Oreochromis niloticus: one gene and its partners. The protein of the gene in region 3 interacts with the protein of the main gene of each other region in a pairwise test. Links are inferred from orthologs where the notes say so. Each region holds a gene or a part of one and is shown on either strand. Other genes may lie near its edges.

The links.
Region 1: the proteins of retreg3 (region 3) and map1lc3a interact in binary tests that used the Homo sapiens proteins (3 or more experiments, as listed by UniProt). The link is inferred for Oreochromis niloticus from reciprocal best matches to the Homo sapiens genes RETREG3 and MAP1LC3A.
Region 2: the proteins of retreg3 (region 3) and abhd16a interact in binary tests that used the Homo sapiens proteins (3 or more experiments, as listed by UniProt). The link is inferred for Oreochromis niloticus from reciprocal best matches to the Homo sapiens genes RETREG3 and ABHD16A.
Region 4: the proteins of retreg3 (region 3) and signal-transducing adaptor protein 1 interact in binary tests that used the Homo sapiens proteins (3 or more experiments, as listed by UniProt). The two-hybrid records come from large-scale screens. The link is inferred for Oreochromis niloticus from reciprocal best matches to the Homo sapiens genes RETREG3 and STAP1.

What each region holds. Positions count from the first base shown.
Region 1 is NC_031970.2:3,293,167-3,300,595, reverse strand, and holds the start of map1lc3a (microtubule-associated protein 1 light chain 3 alpha), read left to right. Parts: upstream 1-4,226; 5' UTR 4,227-4,366; coding exon 4,367-4,406; intron 4,407-4,472; exon of another isoform or gene 4,473-5,651; intron 5,652-7,310; coding exon 7,311-7,366; intron 7,367-7,429. Other genes in the region: dynlrb1 (dynein light chain roadblock-type 1), read left to right, coding at 44-119, 1,394-1,561, 1,698-1,741. UniProt on the Homo sapiens protein: Ubiquitin-like modifier involved in formation of autophagosomal vacuoles (autophagosomes). While LC3s are involved in elongation of the phagophore membrane, the GABARAP/GATE-16 subfamily is essential for a later stage in autophagosome maturation.
Region 2 is NC_031976.2:23,875,949-23,883,626, reverse strand, and holds the start of abhd16a (phosphatidylserine lipase ABHD16A), read left to right. Parts: upstream 1-4,476; 5' UTR 4,477-4,523; coding exon 4,524-4,625; intron 4,626-7,143; coding exon 7,144-7,200; intron 7,201-7,303; coding exon 7,304-7,370; intron 7,371-7,678. Other genes in the region: g6fl (g6f-like), read left to right, coding at 2,598-2,720, 2,928-3,001, 3,236-3,262, 3,644-3,690, 3,988-4,009. UniProt on the Homo sapiens protein: Phosphatidylserine (PS) lipase that mediates the hydrolysis of phosphatidylserine to generate lysophosphatidylserine (LPS). LPS constitutes a class of signaling lipids that regulates immunological and neurological processes.
Region 3 is NC_031969.2:26,013,549-26,021,030, reverse strand, and holds the start of retreg3 (reticulophagy regulator 3), read left to right. Parts: upstream 1-4,165; 5' UTR 4,166-4,296; intron 4,297-4,506; exon of another isoform or gene 4,507-4,520; 5' UTR 4,521-4,549; coding exon 4,550-4,797; intron 4,798-6,204; coding exon 6,205-6,311; intron 6,312-6,681; coding exon 6,682-6,712; intron 6,713-6,816; coding exon 6,817-6,943; intron 6,944-7,482. Other genes in the region: tubg1 (tubulin gamma-1 chain), read right to left, coding at 395-521, 611-690, 1,906-1,974, 2,113-2,280, 2,552-2,664, 3,024-3,072. UniProt on the Homo sapiens protein: Endoplasmic reticulum (ER)-anchored autophagy regulator which exists in an inactive state under basal conditions but is activated following cellular stress.
Region 4 is NC_031966.2:22,359,942-22,367,622, forward strand, and holds the start of signal-transducing adaptor protein 1, read left to right. Parts: upstream 1-4,212; 5' UTR 4,213-4,540; coding exon 4,541-4,642; intron 4,643-6,319; coding exon 6,320-6,391; intron 6,392-6,546; coding exon 6,547-6,663; intron 6,664-6,854; coding exon 6,855-6,911; intron 6,912-7,545; coding exon 7,546-7,681. Other genes in the region: paired box protein Pax-5, read left to right, coding at 915-1,049, 1,141-1,163. UniProt on the Homo sapiens protein: In BCR signaling, appears to function as a docking protein acting downstream of TEC and participates in a positive feedback loop by increasing the activity of TEC.

The DNA of each region.
Region 1 (7,429 bases), on a different chromosome or scaffold from region 3:
CACATGAAATGACTGAGTTCTCACTGTTGTCTCCGTCCCTCAGGCTGAAGTAGAAGAAACTCTGAAGAGGATTCAGGGCCAGAAAGGAGTTCAGGGAATCATCGTCGCCAATTCAGAGGGTGAGACGACAATGATGTCGTTTTCCCTCCTCTTTTATAGACCTTTCCGCTCTTTGCGTGTTTCTAATTATGACTGCCACTGTGTGTTTTGCAGCTATAAGTCCTCCGGGGTCTGATCCAGAACACATGTTTAATAAACTCCGGGTTTGTTCAAACTGAGGCAAATTTTAGGGTTTATTTTTCCCGATAGTCGGTTACCATGATAACAGACACTGTGACCCTTCCCTAATCGTTTACCATGGTAACAGACCCTGTGAGCCTGTCTAACCTGCTCCCTGCAGGTGTTATCTCTGGCTCCTCCCCTCCTGTTACTCCTGAAACAGCCGACTGACCCTGGAACGCTGAAAACCCGGCTGGATCGATCATAATATTGATAATATCGGTACCAGTGTCAGTGTCAGATCGTGATACTTGATGCTTTACTTTCAGTGTGTTTCCTCAAAAAGTAGACATCCCTTTACAAACACAGTCCTCCTGCTCCTCCTCTTCCTCCTCCTCTCTGCCTCATTGTGTTTTGTTGTTGTGCTGTCACATGACTGGGTGGTGCTGAGCAAACACATGTAGGCTGTAGAGATAAAAAAGGAGCAATCTCACAGCTGTAAGCTAAAACGCCGCACACTGCCATGTGTAGGAAGGCGATTCGTGATCAGTTTATACAAACACATGAAAACAGAAGTGAGGAAAGAAACAAAGCATCCTTAGTGCTACAGCAGCATTCACTCATGTTTACGAATGACTTAAATCTTTTCTCTAATTAAATACAAAAAAAATCTTCCACATATTGATCATTGTTTCACTACCTGATCAATAACAAGTTAAACAACATTTAGTTTATAAAGAAAACATAACTGTCATTCGTGGAAAACAATCCTTCAAGCTGTGATAATTCCATAAAAATCAGGAATGCTTGTTTCATATATAAACTTTCACATGTGCTTTTTTCACTCTGTTAAATGTATTTGTTATTGATGTTTTTGTTTTGGTCTGCTGGGTTTCATTGAGCCCTGTTCCTTTAATGTACCACACTTACATTTTCCTTGGTACATAATAAAGCTGGAATCCCATCAAATTGTGAATTTAAATAATTTAGCTGTAACCTGACAGGACAAAATGCTACTGAAGACAAAACTATTTTCCTTCTTCGTCCCATTTTTAATTACTTTTTTTTTTTTTTTTTGAGTAATTGAAATCTATTTTACTGTCACGCTTCAGTTTCAGCAGCAGAGAACCAGTAAAATAAGGTGTGATGTGGTTACTGGGTGTTTTCCCTTCAGGAATCCCCATCAAGTCGACTCTGGACAACTCGAGCACGGTGCAGTATGCCGGGCTGATCCACCAGCTGGTGATGAAGGCCAGGAGCACCATCCGAGACATCGACCCCCAGAACGACCTCACCTTCATGCGCGTGCGCTCCAAGAAGAACGAGATCATGATCGCTCCAGGTGAGAGCATCTGATGGGAAATATTAAAATGCCCATTATTCGGATTATTTCCTGGCCAAAACGGCTGGATATGAACATTTAAGATGGTTTCGTTCCTGAAGTTGTTTTTTTTTTTTTTTTGCCTTTTTCTTCACAGATAAAGACTTTTTCCTCATCGTCATCCAGAATCCATCAGATTGAAGATGAAGGAGCTGACATCTGGCTGTTCGCTCTCTTTATCACTCTCATTTAAACGGCCCATTTTCTTTTTCTCGTTAAATCAAAAATTGTGTTTAGCAGAAGCTTTTTCACGGGAAGTAATGTTGTAAGGTCAGGATGTGAAGGTGGAGATGTGTGACCCCGAGGACGGTCAGTCAGCCTGCAGGAGGTTTTTTGGGTTGTTTTTTTCCCATGTTTTAGCATTCCAACTCCTCTGTGTGTGTGTGTGTGTGTGTGTGTGCGCGCGCGCGCGTGTGTGTGTGTGTGTGTGTGTGTGTGTGTGTGTGTGCGCGCGCGTGCGCGTACCTCATGTCACTGTTTATTTCATGTGTAGCAAGCAGCCAGACGTGCACGCCGAAACACGAGTGAGCAGTGAAGTCGCAGACATATGACTGGAGCAGAGCACGCTGGTCTGCAGAGGTCCAGTATACGAGGCAGAACAAAGGACGTGCTTTGTTTTATTTGGCCCACCTTAAAGGAAAACTGCAGATTGTTATTTATTGTTTTGATGGTTAAAAATGTTAAGGAGCAGTATTTCACCTGTGAGCAGAGAGCGACACTACAAACACGTCCCTGCTCTCGCGTCAAGTTTCTGTTCATTTGTAACAATTCTGAAATACAAAAATTGAAAACGGTCCCGTGTCTTTGTCTTGTTACTGGTTTTTGTTGTTGTTGTTGTTTTTTGTTTTTTTCTTGTTTAATAAGAGACTCATGCATCTATCAGCGGCTAAGAGTGCTTAACTTGAGTGTTCTGGTAAAAAGGAGGAAGCAGATAAAACTACTTGAACTATCATCCAGTTGCTTGGTTACACATTCAGGAGATAAAAAGAGGTCAGCATGTCACCTCAAGGAAAAACATCCAAAAACAACCCAGCAGAAAAGCAGCTGCTGAATGATGCTTGATGTTAGGGTTACGACGTAGGAGGGACACTAATTTTGACTCATTATTGAAAATAACAGGACATGACTGCATGTGTAGAGTCAGTAATTACATCTGGTTTAAAAATGCTTTGATGCACCTCAAAACGAGAGTTTAAAAAAGCTTTTTTTCAACGTCTGGAAGTTAAAAGTCTGCTGCTGTAGTTCTGCCAAAGATTTGATTTCAGGACTCTGAGGGCCATGTTTCAGTCATAGTGTCTCTGACAGATCACTGCAGAGAAGAACTGCAGAGTCAGCTGGTAGGTTTCAGCTGATGCGTCTGCTAAAAGCAATCATTTTCACATTTCATGGTCGTTTCATTCTTTTGTGCATCGCTTAAAAATCATCTTCAGCTGCAAGATTCGTTTCTTACACACTGCTGGGAGTTCTGTACACAGTACAAAGTAAAATATTTGCGTCTAAAATATAACAGAAGAAAAGTCAAAAGCAACATAATACAAATATTTTTACTTCAACCGTGACCTCAGTTCCAGAAAATCTGGGAAACTGTAAAATGCAATCATTTGCAGATCTAATAAACCCATTTTTCTGTACAATAGAACATAGAAAACATGTCAGATGGTTTAATTGAGAAAATGTTCTGAGGCTTGTTCCTTACACAAAAAGATTTCTCCAGATTCTCAGAATCATTCGGGGATATCATTTATTGTAGATCAGGAGATATTCAGTGTTTAAATTAGAAACAACATTCTGAAAATGTTCCACAGTTTTTATTTGTATTCCCAAACATATTACTTATCTGTTGCCAGTGAATCACAGACATGCTAAATGTTCCTCCAGCTGTGTTTTTAGCACTGCTCACTTTTCCAGCCTTTCATTGCCCATCTCCCATGGGCGAATAAAATATGAGTTTATGAGATCTGCAAATGATTGCATTCGTTATTTCAAATTTACATTTTATTCAATTTAATTTTTTTTAAATTGGGGTTTTACATTAAAACTTTAGTAAAGTACTCGTATTACATTCCACTACAGCTCATATCTCGTTAATTCTCCCAATAACACTCAGTTTTGCCTTCCTGTCTTTATAAACAGTCAACAAAGGCAGAAAGTACAAACAAAGTAAAAACATCCAAAAATAACAGCAAATGAACACAAAATATTCATAATCAAAACATGGAAGATGATACACAAAATGATCATAGAAGGAGAAAAATGGATAAAATCAACACAGCTGATGAAAAGTACAGAGAAAATGTCTATGAACACAAACAAAACCATCAGAGTTCACTGGGACACCCCATCCCCCACCTTGTACCAGTTCATTTAAAACAAACCTAGGAACGCCCCTGCTGAAGCAAAACACAGCCTGACATTACAGCTGATTCACGAACCTTTCATCATTTCCTCTCAGTACAAAATGAAGACGCTGCTGTGTCTGTTAAACTCTGAATCACCGTGTGAATCACGGGCTTGGGTGTATAACTGGTTAAACTTTGCACTTCTGTTAACGTGAATGTAAAGCTGCTCTCTGGGTTCAGGGATCGATGCACGGCCCCTTTAAATGCAGCGGGTGACGTCAGAGGCTCGGTTTACTGTCTTTGTTTGTCCGGAGCTGTTTTGGCTTCAGACGAACCAGAGACTCGAACCGAAGAGACGGACCTGCGCTGCTTGCTGTAACGATTGCGTTATTCATTAGTGTATAACAGATTAATAACCGGGACCGAGATGCCGTCCGACAGACCCTTCAAACAAAGGAGGACATTTGGTAAGAAAGCCCCGGGGAAGGTGTTATTTACCTGGCTTAAGTGCCTGCAAACAGCCGCTGAGCTGCTAGCCCGTTAGCCGCCTAGCTCAGCTCTTTGTATTTAGAGTGCAGACAAACGGTGTCGGTGCTGGGTTACTGTAACTGCTACAAGTGTCCGGGAGCCAGGGTAGGTAGGCTAACAGAGTATTTCTTTTAGTGGCGAATCAAAGGTGAAAATCCCGTTTTTACTGTGTGAGGCAGCATCCTCCGGGCCGAGAGGTGTTAAAGGGCCATCTGGGTCACTGTCCGGCTAGCTCGCAGCCAGCTAGGCCTCCGTTTACACGGCCGGATCATCTCACTGATCTGTGTTTGCTGAAAGGAAAAACAACATGTGCTGACACATTATCCCAATACACGTGTTCAGCGATTTATGTTGAAATATGAGGTCGAGAGACAGCCCCCCAGAGCCGGGCAGGGAGGAGCCCGGAGTCGGGCTCGTTGCATAATCTTTCCATTTACAGAGAAGCAGCAGAGATGCAAGAAACGCTGCATTCACCGCCTTCTGCTCTGTGCTTATAACCTGCTTTCAGCCGCTCTTGTAGACCTGTGCGTGCTGTTTGTTTAGCAGCTGTTTGCATTGTGTCACACTGACACACATTACAGACGAGTTACACAACAGGGGACATGTTTACCACACTTGGAGTTACTATAATACGCTTTCCAGTTCACTTTTATTCATATAGCACCAGTTCATGTTAGGGTAAACACCCCCAGAACCCCAACAATCAGATGATCTCCTGTGAACTGCACTTGACGACGGTGGGGAGAATGAACACCCATTTAATGGGAAGATGCCATTGTCAGGGACAAGCAGCCATCTGCCTCCACCTTTTGAAGGAGGGCAAAACAAACCACAGAAGAGAAAACAGCCAGTCGTCTGTTTATTGCAGCAGATACAACAATGTTTTCAAAAGACTCACACAGCAAATATTTAAACGCTTCATTAAAAAGTCGCTCTCGGACGACTAAGATTTCAGTGTAAACATTAGTGAAGACGGGCGTAGCGACTGCACCATCATAAATCCTGTTATGAAGCCCTGAGCTGAGCGTGTGCCCCGTCGCCATCTTGTTTGGATTGAGCCTATCAACAGGAAAGAGTTTACTGAGGGGCCGTTTTCCCATGAACCTCTTCAAATCTCCAACCAGATTAGTCGCCCTCTGCTAGCCATAAAAAAAAGGATGGATCATTGTTTCAGCATCTTCTTCCTGAAATTTGATGGTAGACGAAGAAAGAAGAAGACGTGATTAATAAAGACAGACTTCAGCCTTGGTTGTATTCAGTTGCCGACACAGACGGCTGGAAGCACAACGGCTGAGTAATCATTCCTGTTGTGCCGCTGCCTGGGGTGCATGGTAGTTGGTGCATTGTAATGCAAATTCTCTGTGGACAAGTCTTCACGATCACAAAAAAAATCAACAATCACCGTCTGATAGCAAAATTTCTTTCACTTGTGTCCTCGTGGATGTGAAAAGTATAATCAAGGCTGTGACGAGCAGACAGATGGTTCAGGGTCACCTGCTCCAGCCCTAACCTCATAAAGCTTATCAGAAAGGAAAATGTGAAGCCTGATCTTAGAAGTGGGAGGTGTGACTCTCTCCAGGAGCCCAGTGAGGACGAATATTTCTGAATATTTAGATTCAAACTGAAGACAGGTGTTCTTGCAGAACCTGGAGCAGGACTGTAGCTGGCTCCCAATAAACACCTCCACACTGAAACAAAGGAGCCATTCACACTCAGCTGCTGCTGCTCTGAGCCACCTGAGCTTTGAACCCGACCAGTATTTGAAAAAGGAAAAGCAGTTTTTCTGAAATAGGCCAGTAGGAGGTTCAGAGAGGGCAGCATGCTGTAAAATTAGATAGTGAGGCAGTAAAAAGAAAAAAGAAAAAAACATTGCAAAGCTTAAATGGGTACTGAAAGGAAGCCTGCGGAGGATTAAAGGAGACGTTTAACATAATAATGATATGCAAAGCTGTGAAGAGATGCAAACTTCAGAGCTCTGCCTCGAAAAGAGAAAAGACTTAGTGTGGAAGAAGAGGGGGAAATACACAAAGAGACTGATGTTAATTAGCCACGTCGTTAAACAGATCCTCTCTGACTACACCTAGTTTACTATCATGTCATTTTTTTTCATCACTTTTAAGAAGCTTTAACCAATCTTTAGCTGAAAAGTGACTAAAATGATCATTCAGTCAGTTGACTGTGTAGTTCACTGACTAATTGTTGCAGCTGTGTGGGTGAATGGATCTCTGCACTGCACTAAACAGCTCCGTGATCTCTGTATGCAATCACACATCACACCAGAAATGAAACGTTACAATAGCCACAGCTGCCCTGGGGCGCACTGACAGAGGCGAGGCTGCCGGACACTGGCGCCACCGGGCCCTCTGACCACCACCAGTAGGCAACGGGTGAAGCGTCTTGCCCAAGGACACAACGACCAAGACTGTCGGAGCTGGGGCTCGAACCGGCAACCTTCCGATTACAAGACGAACGGCCACGATCGCCCTTCATAAAAGCTCATACTGAGCGGTAACCAGCTGCCCCACTGGTGAAGTCACCATCATGGCCACAGCATCCTTGGTGAGCTCAGCGCAGCAGCACATTAAGCAGGTTCTGGTTAAACTGACCCTACAGAGGTGACGGATGGCTCCTGTCACCAGCGGGTGGAGCTGGAGTCTGTCTGATTACAGGACTCGAGACATCATCCACCTGTCCAGCCTCACTGTAGGGAAGCAGACATGAAGTCAGAGTTAGCTGGTTGTCATTGGCTGGACTTTCAAAATAAGAACGAGGATGGTTCCTCTTTCGACCGAACAAGAAATGAACTTTCTGTTTTTGTGACCATTTGTGTCTTTTGTCCACAGCTGACCGGTGCAAAGAGGTCCAGCAGATCCGTGAGCAGCACCCCAACAAGATCCCCGTAAGCTGCTTCACACCTAATCACACCACACTTCACTGAGCTTTGTTAGTGGGAATAAAGATG
Region 2 (7,678 bases), on a different chromosome or scaffold from region 3:
GGGCGTCCTGCAAACATCACACCAATTCTGAGTTCTGACCTCGACCCAGCTGAGATGTTGTGGTTTGACCTGAAGGGGGCTGTTCAATCAAGATGTCCCTAAAATACTGATGAAGTAAAACAAGAGCATCTCAAAGATGTGCAAGTCTCAGAAGCAGCCACAGGAAAAAATCCGCTGGAGATTGTTGTTGTTAAAGGGGGTTCAGCAAGTTAATAAATTCAAGAGTGTAACAACTTTCAGCCTGCACTCTGGCTGGTAACTCTGTGTTTGTTATTATTTTTAATCAGATTTGTCTATAATTGTGACTTAGATAAAGATAAGACCACATTTTATGAGTAATCGCCTCATAAATTCTGGTAATTCACACTATTTCTTGCAGCTGTATATAGAATAAATATGACAAGCGCTGCATTTTTCCAGCATGTCACAGGGAATTTAGACTGAGCAGAGTGAAAATTCAAATAATGTGAGTGTTGGATGACCTACATTTTTTTTTCTGTTGAAAAGTGGCAGACTGCACAAACACAGCAATAGTGCAAGATAGCACAAAAAAATCAAATCATGGTTAATAATGGATAATGTGACAATAAGTAGTGACAGTTTAAGGTTTCTGAACTGTTTTTTTTTTCTGGAAGACATCTCGGGTAGCATCATTTTTGTGCTTTGAGCGGGAAGTAAGTGAAGCAAGTTTTTAGTGCAGCAAACAACCCATATTTATATTTATAATTTTAGGATATTAACTGAAATGTAAGCCAAGCAGAGTGCATGGTGTAGGAGGTAAAATAACAATGCACTGTCAAAATTCTTTCACCGGTGGCACAGTTCAAAGAATGCAGAATTGAACCAATTATTGTGCTGAGGAGCACACAACATACTTCAAATGTCAGGGATTTTCTGCAGTCATTTTCTATCTTCAGTTTGTCCATCGTTTGCAAAGCATTCAAGCAGTTCTTCAGTCAGCCTCCTATCAGGCACTCCTCCCTACAATTGCAATAATATAAATCACTCCCTACCTTATTTGAGATTAAATAGACGAGGTAAAGAAGAAGTGGCAATGGGGGAAAGAAATAGTATAGATATAGAGGAAGGTGAAAGAAAGAAAGAAAGAAAGAAAGAAAGAAAGAAAGAAAGAAAGAAAGAAAGAAAGAAAGAAAAGAGGACAAGTGGTCATGAGAAACTGGGGGCATTTACGCCTCACTTCACTGTGCTCAATTACCATAATTCATGCGTTAAAGCTGGCATGGAGAACAGAGCAGGTCAGTCTTGGGGTCAGCTCTCACTACAATATTCCATTAGCAACCTCTACACTCACTCACCAATCAATTACACCTCACACAGCACATAATGATTGATTATTTTGAAGCTGGCTAAAAGCTGAGACACGGGGGCTAAGGTGAAGCCCAAGAGCCAATCCCCTTTCAAACTAAATTTGCGAAAAGTTGGTGAAAGTGAACTTTACTTTTCACCTGTTTTCTGTCCTTTGGAGAACCTTAAATGAAGGAGTTAATCATAAATTCTGCTAATTATGTAATTACATAATCAGTCTTTGCAGCGATTGAGAGTGAATGAGGCTTCTCTTGTGTAACCCAAAGACGTTTGTTAGATCTTACTGTTTTGTGCTCTGTCTACAGTTGAGTAGACAGACAACGGTGCGCTTGTTCAGGTGCACTAATTTACGCAATCTCTGTGGAAACAGGCGCCACCCTGCTGCTTCCCATGTTTCCCGGTGGCTGTGTTTTGCAAGACTGATGTCACCGTCATTATGCAAACAATCCTGACAAGTTTGATCGCACGCATGTGCTCTTCCCACAAAATTTGACTTGTACAACAGTGAGCTAATGTTGTGCTTATGTAATGTTTGTGATAATCATGCCTACGCTTTTAAACCACCTGTTTTTCAATACTGCATCGGCCAGGATTGGCTGAAAGACTGCAATCCCCCATTGTTTGTCAGTTTGCCTAGAAGCATTTTGTCGCAGGGATCAGATGTCAAGGGAGTGCAAAGAAAAGCATCTCCAGACTTTACCTACATCATATTTAGAAAATGAGAAATGGAATAATTAGGATTTCGTTTTTGCATACACAGCTTTGTGTGGAAGTGGCATTTTGCTGAGTTTTTGTTGTTTGTTGTAATGATCAGAGAGTATCTGGTCTCCTTGATACTGCTGCTTTCCGTCTTCTCATCCACGCTTCAAATTGACAGCCTTTACTGTCCAGACGGAGGGTCTGTCAGATCGATGTCTTCGAAGCTGCTCTACAGACTATTCATTCTGTCTCGAGTCTCGATTTCCTCGCCTTATTTCACTGCACCCTTTGTCTATGACTGACAGCAGTATGATGCAAATGCATGTAACGTGTTCAGGAAATTGGAAGTGCAAAATGTCCTAAAATATAGCTCCAAGTGTTAAGAAAAAAAGGTTTCCCCCCCTGCTCGACTAGAACAAACTGGAGAGCAAACAGCAATAAGTTCCTGGACAGCCTTAATGTCATTCAACCGCACACCATCACCGCTCTCTGAGTTTTATATTAGCACCGTTCTTGGAAAAAATCATGCTTCTCTCTCTCTTTTCTCTTTCTCTCACTTTTTCCTTTTGTAGAGAGTGTCGATGACACCACCTCCTCCCTGCACCCTTCTCTCGCTGCTTTATTACTCCTGGTGCCCCTGGTTGCCGCAGCTGTCGGTGTGTTGCTATGGAGACAGAGACACATTTCTGATCGCGGTGAGTCTTCCGGCGTTTTCTTTTTTGACAGCTTTCCGTGTTCCGTCCATCTTCGGCCCCTGTTGGCTTCCACTGAGTGATCTGGGCCGTGACATCCTCTGGGGTTGTTGTAATGAATCTGCCCCCCACCCCACTCCTCCATCCCTGTGCAGCCGAGTGTGTTTTTTTTTTGTGTGTGTACACTAGTAACTGTCTTTTTGTACTCAGGTATCGAGCAGTCTCTGTCTGTCCGCTCGGGTGAAGCAGAGAACATCTATGAGAATCCTGAAGATATTAGACAGGTGATGAATTCAACTAAATACCTCCTGATGATTTTTGCCCTCATCTTCCTCTCTTCTCCATCGCCCCTCTGGTATTTGCTTCCCTCCCCCTCCCCTCCCCCTTTACCGTCTTCTCTCTATAGTGCACTTTTATGTTTTTCTTCCCTCGTCTGCTTCTGTTTTCCTCCGACTTCAAGTGTCCCTCCCTCTCTGTCACTTGATGTTCATTAAACCAGTTTTTTCCCCTCCCAACAGGCCCCTCCCCAGGGTCCAGTCTACATGGTGAGTTATTATGCGCTCACACACATGCAGGCACTGTGCTTGCATGTGTCTGTGCAAGTAACTGTGACACACACATTCACTAGTGCATACAAAGTCTCATTCTCTCTATTGCACCCTCCCTAAGCTGTCAGCAGATACGTCTTCCTTCTCACTTCCAGTCTTCTCCTCTAATCTATCAGCCTTCTCTCAGATAAACCCATTGCCTATCAACTGTCACCCTTACATTAGTGGTATTAACAAATCAATCTCATTACACACCAGAGGGACATAAATCTGGCCTGAGTACATCTCTTTATCCTTCTCCTCTCTGTCCCACTCCTTCTCACGCTCTCTCTCTCTCTCTCTCTCTTTTTCCCGTTTCCCCTTTCTTCTTTATGTCAGGATTTGAAGCCAAGAGGAGAGGATGATGTCTATAAGGAACTGGAGCGGTAAGCAAACACAGTTGCATCACCTGTGTGTGCTTTTGTATGTTGTGTGTTTGCACTGTCACTCATGTGCCCCTCACATTCTTCTCACACTCACCAATCACCCCAGCCTGAAAATCACTCTGACACTGTGGCATAATATCACGCCACGCGCTGACAGGCAGCACTCCTTCACCCATGTGCTGTTGTTGCGTGGGCTGTCTGTGTTTGTGTTTAAGGAAGAATAAAAGAGACTGGGGCACTGGAGATTTTTGTGTGTGTGTGTGTGTTTGTGAGTGTGTCTTTGCATTCTGTTTTCAGATACGAACAGTGTCAAAGCTGATCACCTACCCACATCTCCCCCGTATCCAGCTGTCACATCCGCTCAGCTCCCAGCTGCTGCAGAAGGCCTTTTTAAACACAAGTAACGGCTAAATGTCAGAGTTTGGATTTAAAGAAAAACTTCAGTGCTTTAGGGACATGCTACACAATTGTTTAAATGGTTTACTGTATTCTAAGCTATTGTCAAGTAGTAAAGTTAAAACATTCTTTACTTGAAATGCTTCAAAACCTGTCACGCATGTATAGCAGTTGATACAGTATCCTACTACTGTATGTCAAATGATCTTTTCATGAATTTCCTTGCTGTCAGTCATATTTGCTGTTATCCAATATTATAATCTTCTGCAAATAATATGTGTACCAATAATTTTATTTTAAGTAATATGTATACTAAACTTTTAAATAAAGACTTTGGCTGTAATTCTTGCCTTTATTTCTAAACAAGAAATTCTTGAGAGCGCTTCGCGTTTGAGATTTTGGTGGGTACGGGCTTCCGTAGTTCTCGTAGTGGAAGAATGGCCGTCTGGATGTGGCTTCGCTGTGTTTTAGGGCCTCATCTTCAACGAATTCATCGTTCCCCGGACCAATCTCGACCTGACGGGAGATCGGGAAGAAGGGTACGGATGTGTACAGTATTTTGCATGATTTTTGAAGTTGCTGAGTCCGAAAGATTGAGCAATAATTAATCCTTTCGCTTCCATTTAGCTGCAGCTGCGGCCCGGAAGTGTCAGGTGTTTGTTATTGAAACCCTGCATCGCAATGACATTTTAGAAATGAATGAAAAGACAAGGACGCAACGACACGCTTTCCTTGGTCTCGCTGTGTTTTGTTTCGTCGTCTAAGGAGCGGTCATTTAAATTCAATCTATCTTTAATGATGTCAAACTGCTAACGCTAGCCAGGAGCCGAGAAGAACCCAGGAGGAACGAAACAGAAAACAAATAAATTGAATAAAAATATTAAACTCAAACAGGGACAATTTAAAGGCATAAAAACTGTAAAAATGAATTTGGGAAGACAGAATTGTAAAATCCATTCTGTCTTCAAATTATAATGCTAACAGCTAAGCTAACGTTTGCTAACTTATATGAATAACGATAGATCGAATAAGATAAGAGTGACCCGAAGGAAATTACACCACAACCACAAAAGAATGAATTAAAAGTTACCCTAGAAATTAAATGAGAGCGGGAGATCTAAAGAATTCGACGCTCAGCATCAAATACATACACTTCTACATAGACTAACACACTTTATTAGGTACACCTTGCTAGTATCGGGTTGGGCCCTGTTTTGCTTCAGTTCTTCGTGGTACAGATTCCACAAGGTGCTGGAAACATTCCTCAAGGATTTTGGTTCATACTTTTATGACAGGATCACGCAGTTGCTGCAGGTTTGTCAGCCTTACATACATGATGTGAATCTCCCATTTCACCATATCTCAAAGGTTTTGTTGAGCTCTGGTAACAGTGGTAGGTCGTTTGAGTTCGGTGAGCTCATTGCCATATTTAAGAAACCGATCTGAGTTCTGTGATATGGTGACTGCTGGAAGCAGCTATCGGAAGAAGGGTACACAGTGGCCATAAAGGGATTGACATGGACAGCATTAATATTGGGGTAGGCTGTGGTTTTTAAATAAGGCTTAGTTAGTCGCCCAAAGTATACCAAGAAAATATCCCGCACACTCGAGCCTGTGCAATTTGTAACCTCCTTTCCTATTCTTAGCTGATAAGAGTGGCACCTGGTGTGGTCTAAAGCAGCTGTAGGCCATGTGTGTCAAGATTCAAGATGTGAAAAAGATTCAAATTCAGCAGATGGTCTTCACTTTGTTTACATTCCTAAATAGTTTTATCTGCAGTTGCACCTAATAAAGTGGCCATTTTACTATATGCGGTGATGATTAAAAGGAAGAGGGAAAAGATCAATAAGAACAGATGTGCAAAAACAAAGCAGTGAATAATATATCCAGTATATGTATGAATATATAAAGATGTTGACGTTCATGGGTGCAACTGTGTGTTCACCTGTCACACAAGTGTGCAGTTTTATAGAGCTAATTCTTCCTGTCAGCAGAGGTGAATGAGTGTGTTGGAAATGTGAACGCAGATAGATACTAATGCCATTATCAATTTTGCCTTTAAGTCAGACTAAAGCAGTTGATTAGCTTTTTCATTCCAGATCAATTTTATCTTTGAGTCTGAATATGATCTGTAAATGGAGTAAAACGAGAGATTTGCAGATTGAGCTGTGCAGAAGGTCCACAGTGACATATATTTGATGTCACTGTTTTCCAACTGTCAGAAAAACATGTTGCCATTGATACGAATCCTGTGGGCTAGACAATTTGGAACCAGCACTCGGTTTCCATACTTTGTTGTATAATGTGCTTCATTGTCTGTGTGTAATGAATCATAGACAGAATAGGATGTTTTGTCTTTTATGGTGGGATCTGTCCATTGACCACCTTCATCTCACTGTCTGAAATGTGTCCAGCTTTTTCCCAATGATTGTTTCAGTCTTGTGAATGACTTTATTGATCCTGTTGGCATTTCTTGGATCAGCGCTGCTTCACCAGTAGACCACAGACTGCTTGAAGATCTCTGGTTGCATACATTGACTGAGCTGAGCTTCCACAGATGATGCTGGTGTATATTTCTGCCTACATAAGTAATTCCAGCATTTAGCCTCTGCACTCAAACTTTAAAAAGCAATCAGCAGCTTTGCAAAGGGCTATAATAAGAAAGGTAGATAAATAACAAAGATGCTGATGCAGATTCTGTTTGTTGTGAAGAAGATTATTAAAGTAAGTGCTCAGCAGGTATTTGTGTGTAATGTTAACATTCAAATTTGACCATTGTCTTCTCAGTCTTGTTTACATTTAGTAGCACTTGATTCCTGCTACACCATGCCATAAAGTTATCCACCAGTTCCCCAACCACCACCACCACCACCACCACAAAGTCATCAGAAAGCTTCTGCAGGCGGCATGATTCAGAGCTGTAATAGAAATTTTAGGTGTGCAGAGTGAACACGCATAACTCAGAACTTTTCTCTTTCTATTAATAACTTGATTTTACGTAACATGAGGGAAACTATTGATGCATGATATGATAAGTATTTCCTTCTCTTTTGCCAGGGATGGAACTACCAACCTAGGGGTTTGGAAAGACACACTGACAGCATTCTTGGCTGGGTCAGTATTACATTGTAATGAACTGTATAGAAAGAAGTAGGTGGATTTAAACAGAAGTAGATTAAATGAATGATTAGTGATCTGTTTATGATTCTTCCTCCAGGCTTCAGCACTATGGTCTCTGTCCTACTACAGCTCTCCTCTTCTTCTTTGCTATCTTTACAGGAAAGGTAGGCTGATTCATGAATTGTGTGACTATAACTGAAATTATTAGAAATGTTAGTCAGTGTGTGTTGATCATCTGGTTAACTGGAATTTAGTCAGCAACGATTTTTATAAGTGATTAATGGAGGAAGTGTCCACTGGGAAGGTTATTTTTGTAAATTTGAAATTATTTCAGGCATTTGAAGCCACTGCCTCGAGCTGTGGGAACGTTTCATAGACATTTTCACTATTTTTGATGTTTAAAAGACCTGAGTTAATCTATACATTTGAGTAAATAATTGCTAAATTAACTGATAATAAAAGTAATTGTTAT
Region 3 (7,482 bases):
GTTTGAACTTCATCAAGTCATGTTAACCAAGTCTAGATGCACAACATGCATTGGTTTGTTGCCATCTGATTGGATTTTTAGATGTCTGCATAAACAGGAAACTAAACAGCTGTACCCAATAAAGTGGCCTGTAAGCACATGTTAAGACATCTCATCTCAACATGTTAAATTTTATTTTCCCATTTAAGCTCAGTGGAATAGCTGAACAATTTGGTTCATTTTAACTTTATTTTGCATGGCACGGTTATAGGGTTTCCAAAAATGCTGATTCCTATATCCTTATGCCATCTTGTGAGATTATTTATGTCATGGGTGTGTAATGATGCCAAGAAAGCAATGGGATTAATTAGTATCCTTTCTTTTTTCCTTTTTTTTTTAAAATGCTGCTGCTCACCACGCAGTCTGCATTCTGAGTGAGTCTCTTCAACGTCAGCAGTGAGTTGTATGGCTGAACAACCACATCACTCATCTCATCCTGGTTTGGGAAGACTGAGTAAGTCTGTACCAGCTTCTTTGGGTACCTGTGGGACAGAAATTATATATTATTTGCTCGTACTATACTGCAAGAAAAAGAAATACAAGGGATCAAGTTGAGTATGTGCATGCGGACCTGTCATTGAGCCTCTCCAGGAGATAGGATCCAAGCCCCGAGCCTGTCCCCCCAGCAATCGAGTGACACAGGACAAATCCCTACAAAGACAAAGGATCACTCAATACCTTCAATTTCAAGCTACAGCGTGCGCCACACATGTGCGAACCTTACTGTGAACTCTTCTGAAGCAGAACGTTAAATGTGCCTGTGGGTGTGCAAATGCCTCTTTTCCTCTGCAGTTATATAAATGGGAACGCAGCCCCACCTTACAAATAGGCTCCCTCACCCCCCCAAGACAGCCCAGTAATACCTGCCTTCTTCACTCGCCCGGCTATTATCACCAGACATACTGCACGCCACACCCTGCCAACATACACATGCCCACAGCAGCTCGGCCCACCTTCCTATCCAATGCACACACTAAATAATAATGTGGGGTCATAATGTGAATGAGTTACAGAAATTGCAGACCTTCGAAGGGAAATGTGACTGTTATTTTATGGGAGGCTGGCAGCTGAAGAAAGTTCACCCCAAAAAAAAGGACGCTAAGAATAATAGTGAGGCATGGCTTGGGCTGTGCTGGTTTTAAGATGACAGGCTCTGGCACCATTTTAGCATGCCGTTTCTATCAAGTCATTCATTTCTACATGCATTTTACCACAACAAAAACAAAACACAAGCCTTAAAGACTGAGAGAAATCATGCCTGAGTAAAATCCACCACTCCATAACAGTATTCAGACAACGAATGGGTTTACTCAGTCTAGACTGAGCTTCACCTCCAAAAAGTCACTGAAAAGAGACACAAATCAACCCCAGAGACACCAAAAGTGCCCACATGACCACAAAGAAAGACGAAATGATCGCAAAATGACAACAAAGAGACACTGAGACACCAATTGCTCCACTACAAAGAGACACAAAATGACCACAGAGCGACACAAAATGATGACAGACATTACCAGTTAACCAGATCACAGATCACAAAGAGACAAATGGAGCTGCAGCATGACCACAAAACTACAAACAAACACAAAACAAGCTACAAGGTGTAAGTATATCCATATCAGACAGAAAATCCCTGTAATTTCAACAGGTTCAAAAGTAATCCCCTCACATTAACAACAAATACCTGACACTTTAATGCATGAATAAGGTTTAGGCTACAGTTTCAAGCTAGTCTTAAAAATGTAATATTTCTACACACATCCGTATCAATTTACTCTTAAATCAATTTTTTAAATTCCACACTGCCACAGCCTCAATCGTCCCAGCCCTCTGGGATAGTCGGTATGTGATAAAAGATAAACTTGCCTCTAGACTGTCGCTGCCATCTGCCTCTCGGTCAATAATGTCGAAGATGTCTTCTTGAATTTTTTTTCCCTAGAGGTAGAGAATCCAGAGCAGATTTTAGATGTGTTATTAAAAATTTTATTGAGATTAATGAGGTAAGGGTAAAAAACAAACAAACAAAAAAAAAAACAAAAAGAGAAAAGTAGGTAGGTTATATCAGGTGATCACCTGTGCATAGCCACTAGCCCAATTGTTCCCGGCACCTCCACCATGCTCAGACAGGTAGATGTTTTCTGGGTTGTACAGGTTTGCATATGGGGAGTTAAGGATGGAGTGGATCACGCGGGGCTCCAAGTCGAGGAGAACTGCACGCGGGATGTAATGCTCATCGTCAGCCTTTGGGGTTTTAATCAAAAACAAGCGGTTAGATGAAAACACTGCAGTGTTGAGCTTGTCGTTTCCCTGCAGGAGCTTGGTTCTTACAGTTTACTATACAAGCATGCCACCTAGTCGCAAATAATATGGTTGCACTTCAGCTACATAGAAGCATCATCACATAGAGGACTGGAGACGTTGTACACTCTGCGGTGCAGAAAATGTAGGCCGATTGTAACACATAGCAAGAGAGACTATGTGCCATGAACCAGAATACTTCTGCTCCACTTACCTGATAGAAGAATACATCCTTTCTGTCTGTCCCTTCTGTAGCAAACTCCTCAACAATCCCCTCTGGACTGATGCCATGCTCAGCACACAGCTGCTTCCAGAACTCAAATCCGACTGAGTAACAGGGAGGGGGAACAAGTAAACAAAACATGTTCATTTTGACTACTCAAACTGGTACAACTTTACTCTAAATGCACGGATGCCCGTTACCATAAAATGCATATCATAAAGGCACCTGATGGTAATCACACAATATGCACACAGTAACATTATGTTTATAGACACTATTAGCCAATAGGTAAGCTAGGATACAAGGTCGTTGTTTCTGTTATATTTAAAGTTAGCTCGACTTATTATTAGCAGTTAGCTACTGTCGTTACACAGCAGAATACATGACAATCTGATGACATCTCGCACAGCTAACAATAAAAAAGCTGTAGCGGTTTCAACGCTATCAACGTCTTTGCACGTACTTTGGTTTCCGCACTGTCCGAGCTGAAGCGTTATGATTTCCCGCGGCATGTTCCGTCTTCAGTCGCCCCTTATTTAGCTAGCTCTTGTAGTCTGCCTGCTAGCTAAATAATAGAAGAAAATAGCCACTGCTTTCACACCGCTTCACCTCTGCCCGCTCCTTCCCGCTTGGTCCTGCAGTGACGCTTCAAGCAGACTTCTTCTACTGTAGGTTAGCGAGTCGCAAGGCGACTCTAAACGTGTGCTGCCACCGTTCGTGTCGGAGTGTGTAGTGCTGTAAGGAACCGTAAAATCTGCCTTACATCATCTTTCAACAGCTTTGAATATTTCCCTTATTTTTGAAAATGTATACCAACACACTTCTTCTCCATTCCTCAGTTATTATCCCACTCTCCAAGATTGTGTTAAACAATCTGGTTAAAAAAATTCCACTCTCATAGACATCTCTATACCTCCACACTTATGTAATCTTGGCCAACTGCCTTTCCACTCTTCATCCCCTTCATCCTCTTCATAGGTACTTCCTCCTTACTAATCCTCTGCCCTTCCTGATTCACTAACTGTCCTCCATGTCTCCCCCTCTGTTACTTTCGTTATTCATCAGCTCTTCAAAGTACTCGGCACACTCTTTAGTACAGCTTCCATCTGTAATCACTCTAACCTGCTGCATATCCTTTCATTATTAACATTATGTAATAATAATAATAATAATAATAATAATTATTATTATTATTATTATTATTATTATTATAGATATTATATCATTATAGAATGTGACCAGAAGGGGACAGTGTAGACACGTTTTAAAATGCTCAACTGTAAGCCTACTGTCTATGAGATAAATTACAGTAGCTAAATAAACTTTCGGGTATACAGTTAAATTTAGATTATTTAGACAGGGAAGTAAAGTTCTTTTCATAACAAGCCATTTTCATTAATAGGTCGTAAGTATTGAATTGCACGAGATGATATTTTCAATAGGCTTAAAATCATGATGAATAAAGAGGGAAGAAGTGGGTTGTTGTGGACAGCTTAATCGAAAATGGGTTAGGTTTTTGGTGTGTAAAATTACAGTCGCAATGGCTCTTTAATTTTCAACTTTGCCAACGAAGTGCTTCAAAATAAGCAAAGATGTTCCTATTGCACCTGAATGCCTCATGACGCAGGGCCCAAGTGGATTGTGATTGGGCCGCTGACGGCTCAGAAAAACAGGTAACGCCATATTGTAAGTTCGCCGAGTCGAGCGCCGCATTTCTGCAAAAAAATGACAAAATAGTAAGTGTCACCTGCTTTTGAAACGTTTATCCATTTGCTTTGATAAAATATTTTATTTTAATATAGTCAAATGTGTGTTGTTAGACCATAATAAAGTGGTTTGGCTGGCGTCATTTGCTTTTAGCTTAAAAATCCGTTAGCATAAATGTTAGTGGAGCGGCGCTGTGGCGCCCCTCATGAAGCTGTTTACATGGTTCCACTTAGCTTAAGTCTTTATTTTACAGGCTTACTTTATCAGCAGTAGGACGCTAAGATGACTCACACTGGAACAATGCAAGGGGCAGATGTGGGGGATTGCTCTGCTAATCAGAGCGCTGATATCTGCCTTCGAAGTCGTTCATGCTCTAGCGAAAGAGATGGCCAAGTACGAGCTGTCAAAGCTGCTCTCCAGTCCAGGCTGGGGCCCTATGAGCCTGTCCTGACCTACCTGCAGTCTGTCCTGGTCTGGGAAAAACCCTTTCATTGTGTCCTTCTCTACATTGTGATCAACGTTGTGTTCTGGTAAGTTTTAGCTTATGTTAGTTTGTGAGTTATGTTTCCTCAGTGTCTCTGTGTTACAGTTGCCGACATGCAGACAAAACCAAGAGGCAAGACAGCGTGACTGGAAGCAGATGGTTCTTATGCACAATGCAAATATTTTGCCTGTCAGTTCAATATAAAGCAGCTGGCTGAGTTGCGGTACTATTTTTATGCACACTCTGCAGGGACTTTTCACTCAACTTTTATGCTCTCCAAACTGTTGCTTTTAATCTTGAAATCAGTGTAATGCTGTGGATTATCTCTACCACTTTTACCAGTGAGCCTGTAGAGGTCAAATCTACAGTTAGTGTCATGGGGATAAGGGGGGGAAGTTGTTTCACTATATGAATATGTAAGTATGTTTGAGTGTTTCACTGGGCCAAATTTTGCCTTACTTAGTTGAGCTGGGTATTGCTAGATGTACAGGAAGGATCACTGACCTGACACATGGAAAGAAAGCCTGACTGGTGTGCATGTTTGCAGAGTTCTGGCATTCAGCCTGAATTTGATTAGACCACCAAGCGTTTCAGAACGTTTGCACTGCATCTGCTTTACTTTTGCTTCAGCACGCACGTAATGGTGCAGGCCATTTTCAGCCCAGAGTGATGCAGCCGTAACCCCAAAGTGACTGAAAGTTAGACATTAACAAGGGCAGCCACTCTCACAGTAGGACAGGGTTGTCCTGATTTTCAACATACAGGTGGCGAATGACAAACTTGTGAAACCACCAGCTGCATTTTCAGTGCTGAGCACTTGTTGTTTTCTCATTTTTCGGTGACCCAACTTTCCATAAACATTTCACATTGCTTTTGTTACTGTCACTTCTAATTACAGCATTAACCCAAATACTGATACCCCTTGTTCTGCCAGCAAATTCTTTGTTAGGTTAATCTCTAACCGGTGATTGGCAGATTCCTGCAGTATTGTTGTTCCCATTACATTTTGGAGTCTTGTGATCTGAAAATGGAGCAGCAGTGGGGATTTAGTTAGGGTTGTGTACAAGGCAAAAAGATGGAAAAAACCTGAAACCTTATGTATAGTTAGACCACATTTTTTAATATGTACATCTGTTAGTCTGTTGGATTAATATCAGCTAAATGTTTATTGATATAATTGATATTGCAGTAGTGGGTGGAGTAAAAAAAAAACAGTCAAATACTCTACTTACTGCCAACCTTCTGGTTTACAATAAATTTGTGTAAGACACCAGAAGGTGGGCTTTCTTTCTTACTTTTGACAATAATAAATGGAATTCGCTCAGACCGTCTTGCGGTTTAATTAATTTTGCATTAACTTTTTAACTACATAGCTCTGTGATTGTTTATGCCTGGGAAAGCAAGAAATAGATGCACTGTGTTCATGTGTTTTCTGTGGTTTATCCCCTGCCAGGTTCTTCGCTCTGACCTCACTGCGCCTGATATTCCTGTTGGCATCTGGCATGGCTGTATTCGTCTGTCTAGATACCTGGAGAAATAAGATCTGGCCAGAGATTAGAGGTGCTAAATTTTGTCTCAATGCGGTCTTTGTATATTTAAGAGAATGCAACATGTTCTGCATTTTCCTTTTTTCTACTCCTGGAATGTCATAGATTGTGCAAAATGCAGCCAATTCAATCCCTAATGTACTGTGGCTGTAGCAAATGTACTTTTGTTCCTAGAATAAATATGACATCAGTCAGCAGCCTTGCACTCCGGACTTTGAAAGTGGTCTGTATTAGTCATGAAACAGTTCATCTTTGGCAGTGGTTTTTAAAATCCCGAAGACACTGTAGATGAAAGCCAAGCAAATGTCTAAATAATGTATACATAATGTAACACAGTGATATTTAATGTCTCTTAAAGTGATGAATGTTCTCTCCCTCCACAGTCAGAAAGCTGGATGAATCAGAAAATGAGAGGTTTGTACCCACAGTTGTTTTTTTTAATTATTTTTTTATTCTCATATTGCAGCATTAGTTGAATGATAAGGAGTTGAAGTTTAAATGATTGTGTCCCTTTCTAGCTGGGGTCTGGTGCATCCTGGCACCCTCAGTGTGCCTGAATTGTGCCACCATATTGCTGAGGCCTGGGTCAGTGGAGTGGTTCTCAAATCCAGTATTGTGCAGTACAAGCGTCGAAATCCTGGCACAGTGAGGGTTACACACAATAACACAATGACTTCATTCTGTATCACAACACCTGTTGTATGATTTTTAAGTTATCCCTGTTTGATTTACCTATTATCCTTTTCTAACTTTTTTTTCCTTCACTGGTTTATTAACTCAGTCACACTAGAGGAAAAATAGGCGGTTGACCAATGATTGCACAGAATTTTTCCACATTCGGCAAGCAACTTGTCACCAAGTGGTTGAGCATGCAACCTTCAAACATTCAACCATCAACCTCTGGGAGACCTTTTTTTTTAATCATAAGGCGACCTGTTAGGAGGCAACACCCAGTCACAGTCCAAGTTGGACTTAAGACAGATTGGCAGAGGCTTGAAGAAAATTGATGTCTAATTTGTAAACACAAACAGTTGGAGTCGGCCTGTAACGATGGACACAACTTATATGTGACGATTATCTTTGCAATAGATCGTTCTAGTCAGCTGGTTGTTTTCTTGTTATATTCCTGTATAACATCAGAGTTACTGAGCAGCTATCTTTGTCCAGTTAAATCACAGTTATTG
Region 4 (7,681 bases), on a different chromosome or scaffold from region 3:
GTTTGTGGTGATGTGGAGCTGAGAGAAGGTTTAGGCTATGCTTGCATAATTTCTTTTTCTAAGTGCTATTGAGCCCTGGGAAACACATTTGGTGAGAGGGGTTAGAAGAGAGGAGAAACTCTTAAACTGTTATTATTGTATTTCATATCGAGTCATACAAACTTCTCATCTGATTGTAGTCATGTTGGTGTCACAAATCTAGAAAGGTTCATATCTGCTCATGAGCTTGTGCCTCTGGAGAGGTGCACAAGCTCAACCCCAGTGACACTAGCTGGATAAGTGGTGAAGAATGTAAAGTTTCCCTTTTTGACCAAATCTCCACATTGTTCAGATGCCTTTGAAAGTCCTATTTTTAATACCTTTCCAGATTTTTTTATGCCCCTTTTAAAAAAAATCTTGAAGTTGTACCAAGAAAATGTCATTTCTGCAAGAGAAATCAAACACATTGTTTGAAATTGCACGCTGAAGACAAATTTCAGTGGCCATTTCTTTTTCTATTGTAAGAGCTCACACACATGGATGTATTTACAGAGCAGGCTCAGGGTTTTCTCCGCAGCTCGTGACCACATGGCAGACTGATGTGAAAAGCCAGCGGTCTTATGTTAATATTAGTCTGACTAAAACAACCTCCGCGGCAGGAGGTCCACCTCAGCTCCCCAGGCTTCTGTCCTCAAAGCCAGCTCCTCGCTGCCTCCTCCTCACCTTGGCCTCTCATTACAGGCCCATATACCCTCACTTCTCCATCACTGCAAACATTAGAAGAGGAGATTGCATGAACAAATATGCATAGTTACCCCTGGAAACGCAGGCATGCATGTGTTTCATCATTCGTCTAATTAGAACAAGTGAAGATAGAAATGGAGATAGGAAGGGAAATAAAAGTGAACCTGAGCTGAAGCTGTTTTGTTTTCCAGCGGGGGACATCTCCCGCAGTGTGTACCAAGACCAGCCGTGTTCATGTTATGACACCTGGGGACAGCCTGACCCCTGCATGATCTCTCTGTCCAGCTTAACCTCTTATACAAGCCTGCCAGCTAATCCAGAAATGGGTCAGTATTTACTGAATTATGATCACTTATCTCTCATATGAGGTCAGCTTTGATGTGTCTTCCTCTCTCTCTCATACGTCCTCTTGTTTAGGACCTTTGTGTCAGTGCAGCTGAATAAGGAGCCTTGAGAAGAAAGAATATCACCGCTTTAGTGCCACAAACAGGATGACTGCAGAACTTGTTTAACTGTAATTATATTTATTACTGTCACTGAGATAGAAATCTGGATCATAATCGAAAACATGTGGAAATAAAACCAAGATAACAAGCCTCACCTTTCATGTTTTATTCACATTATTTGAAGCAAAGAACATGCTCGCCCCACGAAGGCCTAATAGAGCTTCATCAGTCCAACATATTATTCCCCATCCCTGTCGCCCCTGTGGCCACTTTCTCCTCTGTCAGTGGTATAGGGTTAGCATCATTAGGGGCCTCATGATGGAGAGCAGAGACTGCTTTCTCTCCTTTGTGTACATCTCCCTGGCCTCCCCTCTAGGATGAGGGATTAAAGTAGAAGATAGGAGCTGCTAGAAGGAGCAGTGGGGTCAAAAAAAAGAAACACTGCTGAGAAAGAAATCTGCTCAGCAGTAGACATCAATCTGCATGAAACATGTAGAGAATATTAACAGGATGACGAATGTGTTTTGGTTTTGGTTTTACTATGCATATCTAGACACGTGCACAAATCCCTCATGCACCACAAACAATGTATGAAGCACCATAGCAACATCTGTGTGCAGATAATTCAGCATGTGACCGAAATAAACCAAAGCTATCAAATCAGCTTCACCTTTAAACTCAGAAACCACAATTCTGTTTATAAAGCCCCAAATCACAACAACAATCACCTCAAGGTGCTTTATATTGTAAGGTAAAGACCCTACAATAATACAAAGAAAACCCCAATAATCAAGCACTTGGTGACAGTGGGAAGGAATTACTTCACTACTGTACTGGGATAACAAAGTGGAATCATTCATCACAATGCCATCTGTCTAATAACAGTTGTGAGTTGCTGTAGGTCCGATCGAGGGTTGCCTTGTTTGTTTGTGTTTGTGCTGATGTTTTTTTCAGCCATTAAGCTGTCTTATTTCTTTCTCTTTTTTTGATGCAACCCCATCTGACTTGTCTTACTGACTGTATCTTGCTAGAATCAAATAAGAGAGCATGGGGTAAAGTATGAGAAAAGGGAAGGGGTTCTACATTATTCTGTGTTACATTATGTAAGGTAAGAGAAGTCAAAAAAAAAGTACAAACTTATTAAGTGTGTGTACTCTGAAATGTCTCAGTTAGAGTAAAATCTTTTCAAACTAAGTTTTTTTTTAAAAAAAAAAAAGAAGCAGTAAGTGGGGTTTTTCAGCTTGCATCAGTAGAGGGCAGCACTACTGTGAGTAGTTTGTCTTGTAAAATGACTCTGTACCAAGGATGCATTAATGGAGCTAGTAATGCATCCACACCCACTTCTTAGCCTGACAGCACAGCTCCAGAAACACTTCAAGCTAAAACTCGTTAAGGCAAATCACTCAGAAGAGATCCTACAGCAATAACACTTGATGGGATTATGAGACAGTGGAAAAAATGCAAAGGCAGACAACCCAAAGAAGACTCTTATTGTAATGTTCTGATCGCTTTGTTATGATACAACAGCAGCCAGTGTCTTAATCAAGTCAGTTACTATAGTGACTGTAACCCAGTGTCACTGATTCCAGATGTGTCTCAAGAGGTTTTACAGTCTGTACATATTCTTAAACCTGTCTGGATCAGGAAATAGGAAGAACAAACCTAAGCAAGGCTTATAAACATAATAGCTGAAAAGCTAATAAATCTATCTAACATTCTTGACTTGTACTGGTTGAGCTTTATTAATGAATTTGTCAGTATTACCTGAAAAATTCATCTTGGTTCAAGTCATATATTGTTTTTTTAATACCTTTTATTTTCTTTGCAATTACCAAATGTATCAAGAAGCCCTAGTTAAACATTCCTGGCAGTGTGGCTGACAACTCTAAAGCAAAAATGCAGGAAGTGTCATGCAGACAGACACGTGCAAGTAATTCCTCTAAAATACATTTTAGCTGAACAGCTGCTCAAAGGTGATGTCTGCTGAGCTTTTCATGTCTGTTTTAATGGCCGCCAATGTCACCGCCTGCTATCATACTGGCAAATGTCAGGGTTAAAGGTTAATATGCTGCTTGGCATCAGTTAAACATTAACCATGTTCACCACAGATTCAATGCACTTGGAAAACAATGATGTTTTGTTACCTCCCCAAATCCCAGACAATCTGAAGTAAGAGCCTTCTGCTGGTGTTATTAGCTGCACCTGAGAGTGTTACATGTAACCTTTATGTAACTGTTCATAAACTGTAACAAGTAGCATAGACACACTTCCACTGAACTCATTAATACAGGCCATTTAGTGGTAACTGCTACCTTACTACTCCTGAGGACAATACGATGATGTCACTTCAGCTATAACTAATAATCTATATAAATGTATAGCTAACACTCTGTTATTTCTGTTATCCGCTACACAATATCAGAACTTTATTTATTTATCTAGCTAGCATCACTGAATTTTAAGTAGTGATGCAGGTTTCAGCAATTTACTTTTTTTTAAGTTTCAGTCTAATTTTGCCCTTGTCCTTTACACCTTAAAATATATTGAAACCATCTTATAGTCAAGTTTAAACCGTTCATGTATATATTCTGTGTATTGTGTATTTTAAACTTTGTGATAAATCTGTCTTAGTAAATGAAGCCGTCAGCTCTCACACGACAAATCCTGCCAAATGCTTTTAAACAAGTGTTGCTTATCTTCTTTAATCATGTGTTCAATTTAAATATTAAGCTGACTTGCAATATTAAGAGCTTGTGCATGCGTGTGTATGTGTGAATTCCTCAGAATCTGTTCGCAGTCCCTTTTACACTTAAACTTACTTTTACAATTAAATTCTAGGTAAGAATTTATTATGTTTGAAGTTATGATAAATCTCCAAGAAATAAGTGTAGTTAACTGAAATAATCTTTGAACTGATGTGAACGTGTGTGTGTGTGTGTGTGTGTGTGTGTGTGTGTCTGTGCGTGCATAATTTATTGTGGTGTAAAGCTTTTTAGGGATATGCTCAGGTCCAAAGTACAAAAGCACAAGTTAGTATGAGAATTCTTATAACACCAGCTACTTCCTTCTTTATATATTTACCAACGTTTCCTCATTCTGAGGGAGAGGACAGTGCTGAGGCTGAAGGTGGGGGAAAGAAAGGCTTATCTTTGTACATTTATGACCTCGTGATCAAAGCTCTCATATTCTGGACGCATAGTCTTAATTCATACCTGCTTTCAGAGCCTCATAAGGAAACAAAATCAGAACAAAGCTTTTCCAGGACTCAGCAGTTCGCCCTTGACTAGTGACTGCACTGCAAGACATAGGCTGAGCCAAAGCTGAGCCAAACCAGGGCAGAAGAAGACGTTGACTTGAGAGACTACTGGACAATGTCAAGGCCCCCCAGAGTTGTCCACAAGAGGAGGGAGACGATCACAGCCTTGCCTCTCTACTACTCCGGACACCTGCTGAAGAAACACAGCAAAGACACGGTAAGAACGAATGTGGGGAATAAACACGAAGAAATGTAAATAATTAAGAGTAAAACCAAACAAAAGCTGCAAAAGTCTATCAAAAGTAAGGACTCATAATGGAGAATTAGCAGTGTCTGGATGTTACTAAATCACTTATACTGACTGACATTATTTTAATGCTGTAGTTCAGAGAGTTGGGTCTTACTGCACTGTAATGTTGGTTACTGAGTACAAGCTACATATTTGATCATTAATCTGCTAGATTACATAAATTTGTGTAGCATACTTACTCTTGGACTACTTTAAAAAGTGGAGACAGAGCAAATTTTGTGTTACACTACGTCAAAAAACATAAAAATCTTTTATGTCTGTATTCTTCATGCAGTCGGGACTTTCAGCAAACACAGTGCTGTGGTACACATGAATTATGTAAGACACGTTTTTATGAGTTTGTTTTATTGGTTATCGAAAAGGTTTTATAACTTTAAAATATTTTAATGGCATGAAAAATGTAGAGAAGCAACTTTTGATATTATTATTCAAATGTAATCTGGGCTGACTGCAGTTGTTTCAATCTGACGTAAACTGTTACTGCCTTATTGTGGAGAGGGGACTAAATGTAACCACCTTTTATCACCAGTGGGTGGGTAGCTCGGCTCTGACGGTGCATCATATTTTATAATGGTAATCCAACAATAAATATACAAGACATAGAGGTTTGTTTGTAAATACCTCATCTGTAAATTATCTTACAGCCTTTAGATAAGTGTAAATACAATCATGTGACAAAGAGCATTTCTCGAAAAGCTACAACCTTAATGTTTCCACAGGAGTTAAGAGGGTAAGAGGCAGCCATGGGCTGTTAATCAAATGTACTTGATGAACTGATCATCAGCAAGAGTTTTAGCAATTTGCTAGTCTGGACCATTCTGGTGTGTTTTAAGACAATCTACCCGGGAGTCGACGTCTCATCGAGATCAGAAAAATTTCAACAACAACCAAGAGCTACATTTCAGACTCTACAGGCCTCAGTTAACGTGCTAAATGTTAAAGTTTACACCAGAGCAGTTAGAAAAAGACTGAACAAGTAGGGCATTTTTGGAAGGGTTGCCAGCAGAAAGCCTCTGTTCTCACTAAAGCAAACATGGCAGCACAGCTTTGATCTGCAAGGTTGCATCTGAACAAACCATGAGACTTCTGAAACATCGTCCTTTGGACAGATGAGACCAAAGTAGAAATGTTTGGAGATAATGTACAGCAACACGTTTGGAAAAAACAAACACAACATATCAGCACAAACACCTCATACCGACTGCAAACACGGCGGTGCAGGTAGATGCAAAGTTCACAGGACCTGTGAACTTTGCAGATACTGAGTTGACTATGAATCTCTCTGTATACTAAATATTAAAAGAGACAAATGTGAGGCCATCTGTCTGACAGCTAAAACGTGGCAAAAGTGGGTCATGCAACTATACAATGGAGAGCACCAAATCTACTAAAGAATGGCTGAAAAAAGAAAAGAATCAAGGTGCTGCAGTAGCTCAGTCAAAGTCCAGATAGCAACTAGATACCGAATCACGAAGTGTGCATAGTTTTCCACATGACTGCGTAGCTGAAAAACTGAAACAGGTCAAGTGTAAGCAGTTTAAGTGTGCATCTAAATGCCTGACATGTTCATCAAATGACTTTCAGGATTTCAAGAAATACTATGGAGAGCTCCGTGGGTGTTCGCTGTTTCTGTACAAAGATGACACACAGGATACAGTAAGCAAACACCTATGTTTATTCACATTGTGCACTTGACTAATTACCTGAATCATCTTTTGAAAATATGTGGAGTGTTTAATTCCAAGAATTAGGAAGTAGCTTTGAGGGGCAATAAGGAAGTGCTGCGAGCACTGACCTGATTTTTTTCTCAGTATACAGAGAAGTTGGACCTGGACCAGCTGAAGTCGATGGAGTCAGACTCTCCATATCAGAAGAAGGAACCCACTGTGTTCACCCTCAGCCTCAGCACAGAGAAGGTGCAACTTAAGGTCTGTTGTGATAAAACTCACTTCAAATGATCCAATTACATCTTATCTTATAATTAATCACTGGATGGATCAATACTATACATCGCTCTAGCCAAAGTGAAATTAAACTGACTGACCTGTTTTCATCTTTTTATCAACTGTGTGTGTGTGTGTGTGTGTGTGTGTGTGTGTGTGTGTGTGTGTGTGTGTAGATGGACAGTGCAGACACGGGAGAGGTGTGGAGGGGTTTCATCCTGACTGTGGTCAAGGTGAGCAAACACACACCGATCTAATTGATTCAGCACAATTATTTCCATTTATACAGGATATTACACACACACAGTGATGTAGACAGTGGTATTTAAATAATGTTCACTTGGTATAAATAAAGTCTGACGTCCTTCGCATCATTACCGCACAGCAGAAATCGAGACCCAGGCAACATTTTTCTGTTCAGTGATGATGACCCTCAGTTTCTAGTTTGTAGCTGAACGCCTGGTGTTGTCTTTTGTGATTGGATGTGTTGTGCATTCAAAGATGCTCTTCTGCCTTAGTTGTAATGAGCCATCAGCTATGTGGAAAAATCCCAAAAGATCAGCAGTTTCTGAAATACTCAGACCTGCCCATTCAGCACCAACAGCCAAGTCCAAGTCACTTAAATCACCTTTTCTCCTTCTCAGTTTGAATTTCAGCAGGTTATCTTGACTGTGTCCACATGCATGAAATGTGCTGAGTTGCTGCCATGTGATTGGCTGATTAGATATTGGTGTAAATGAGCAAGGTGCCAGATAAAGTGGCCAGTGAATAAATGTTTATATATTTTTTAAATATATCAGGATATATTTTTGAACATGTTCCAGATGATCTGAATGGTACTGAGGTCGAGCTCATGTTTCCTTGCAGAAGGAGCTTCCCAGTAAGCTGCAGCTGATGCCTGGCCAGGTGTTACAGCTGAAGGAGGTTCTCGCTCAGGAAATAAAAAGAAAATCCCCATCATCACGTCCACCGCTCCCACCTCGACCAGGCTTCCTCTCAGGCC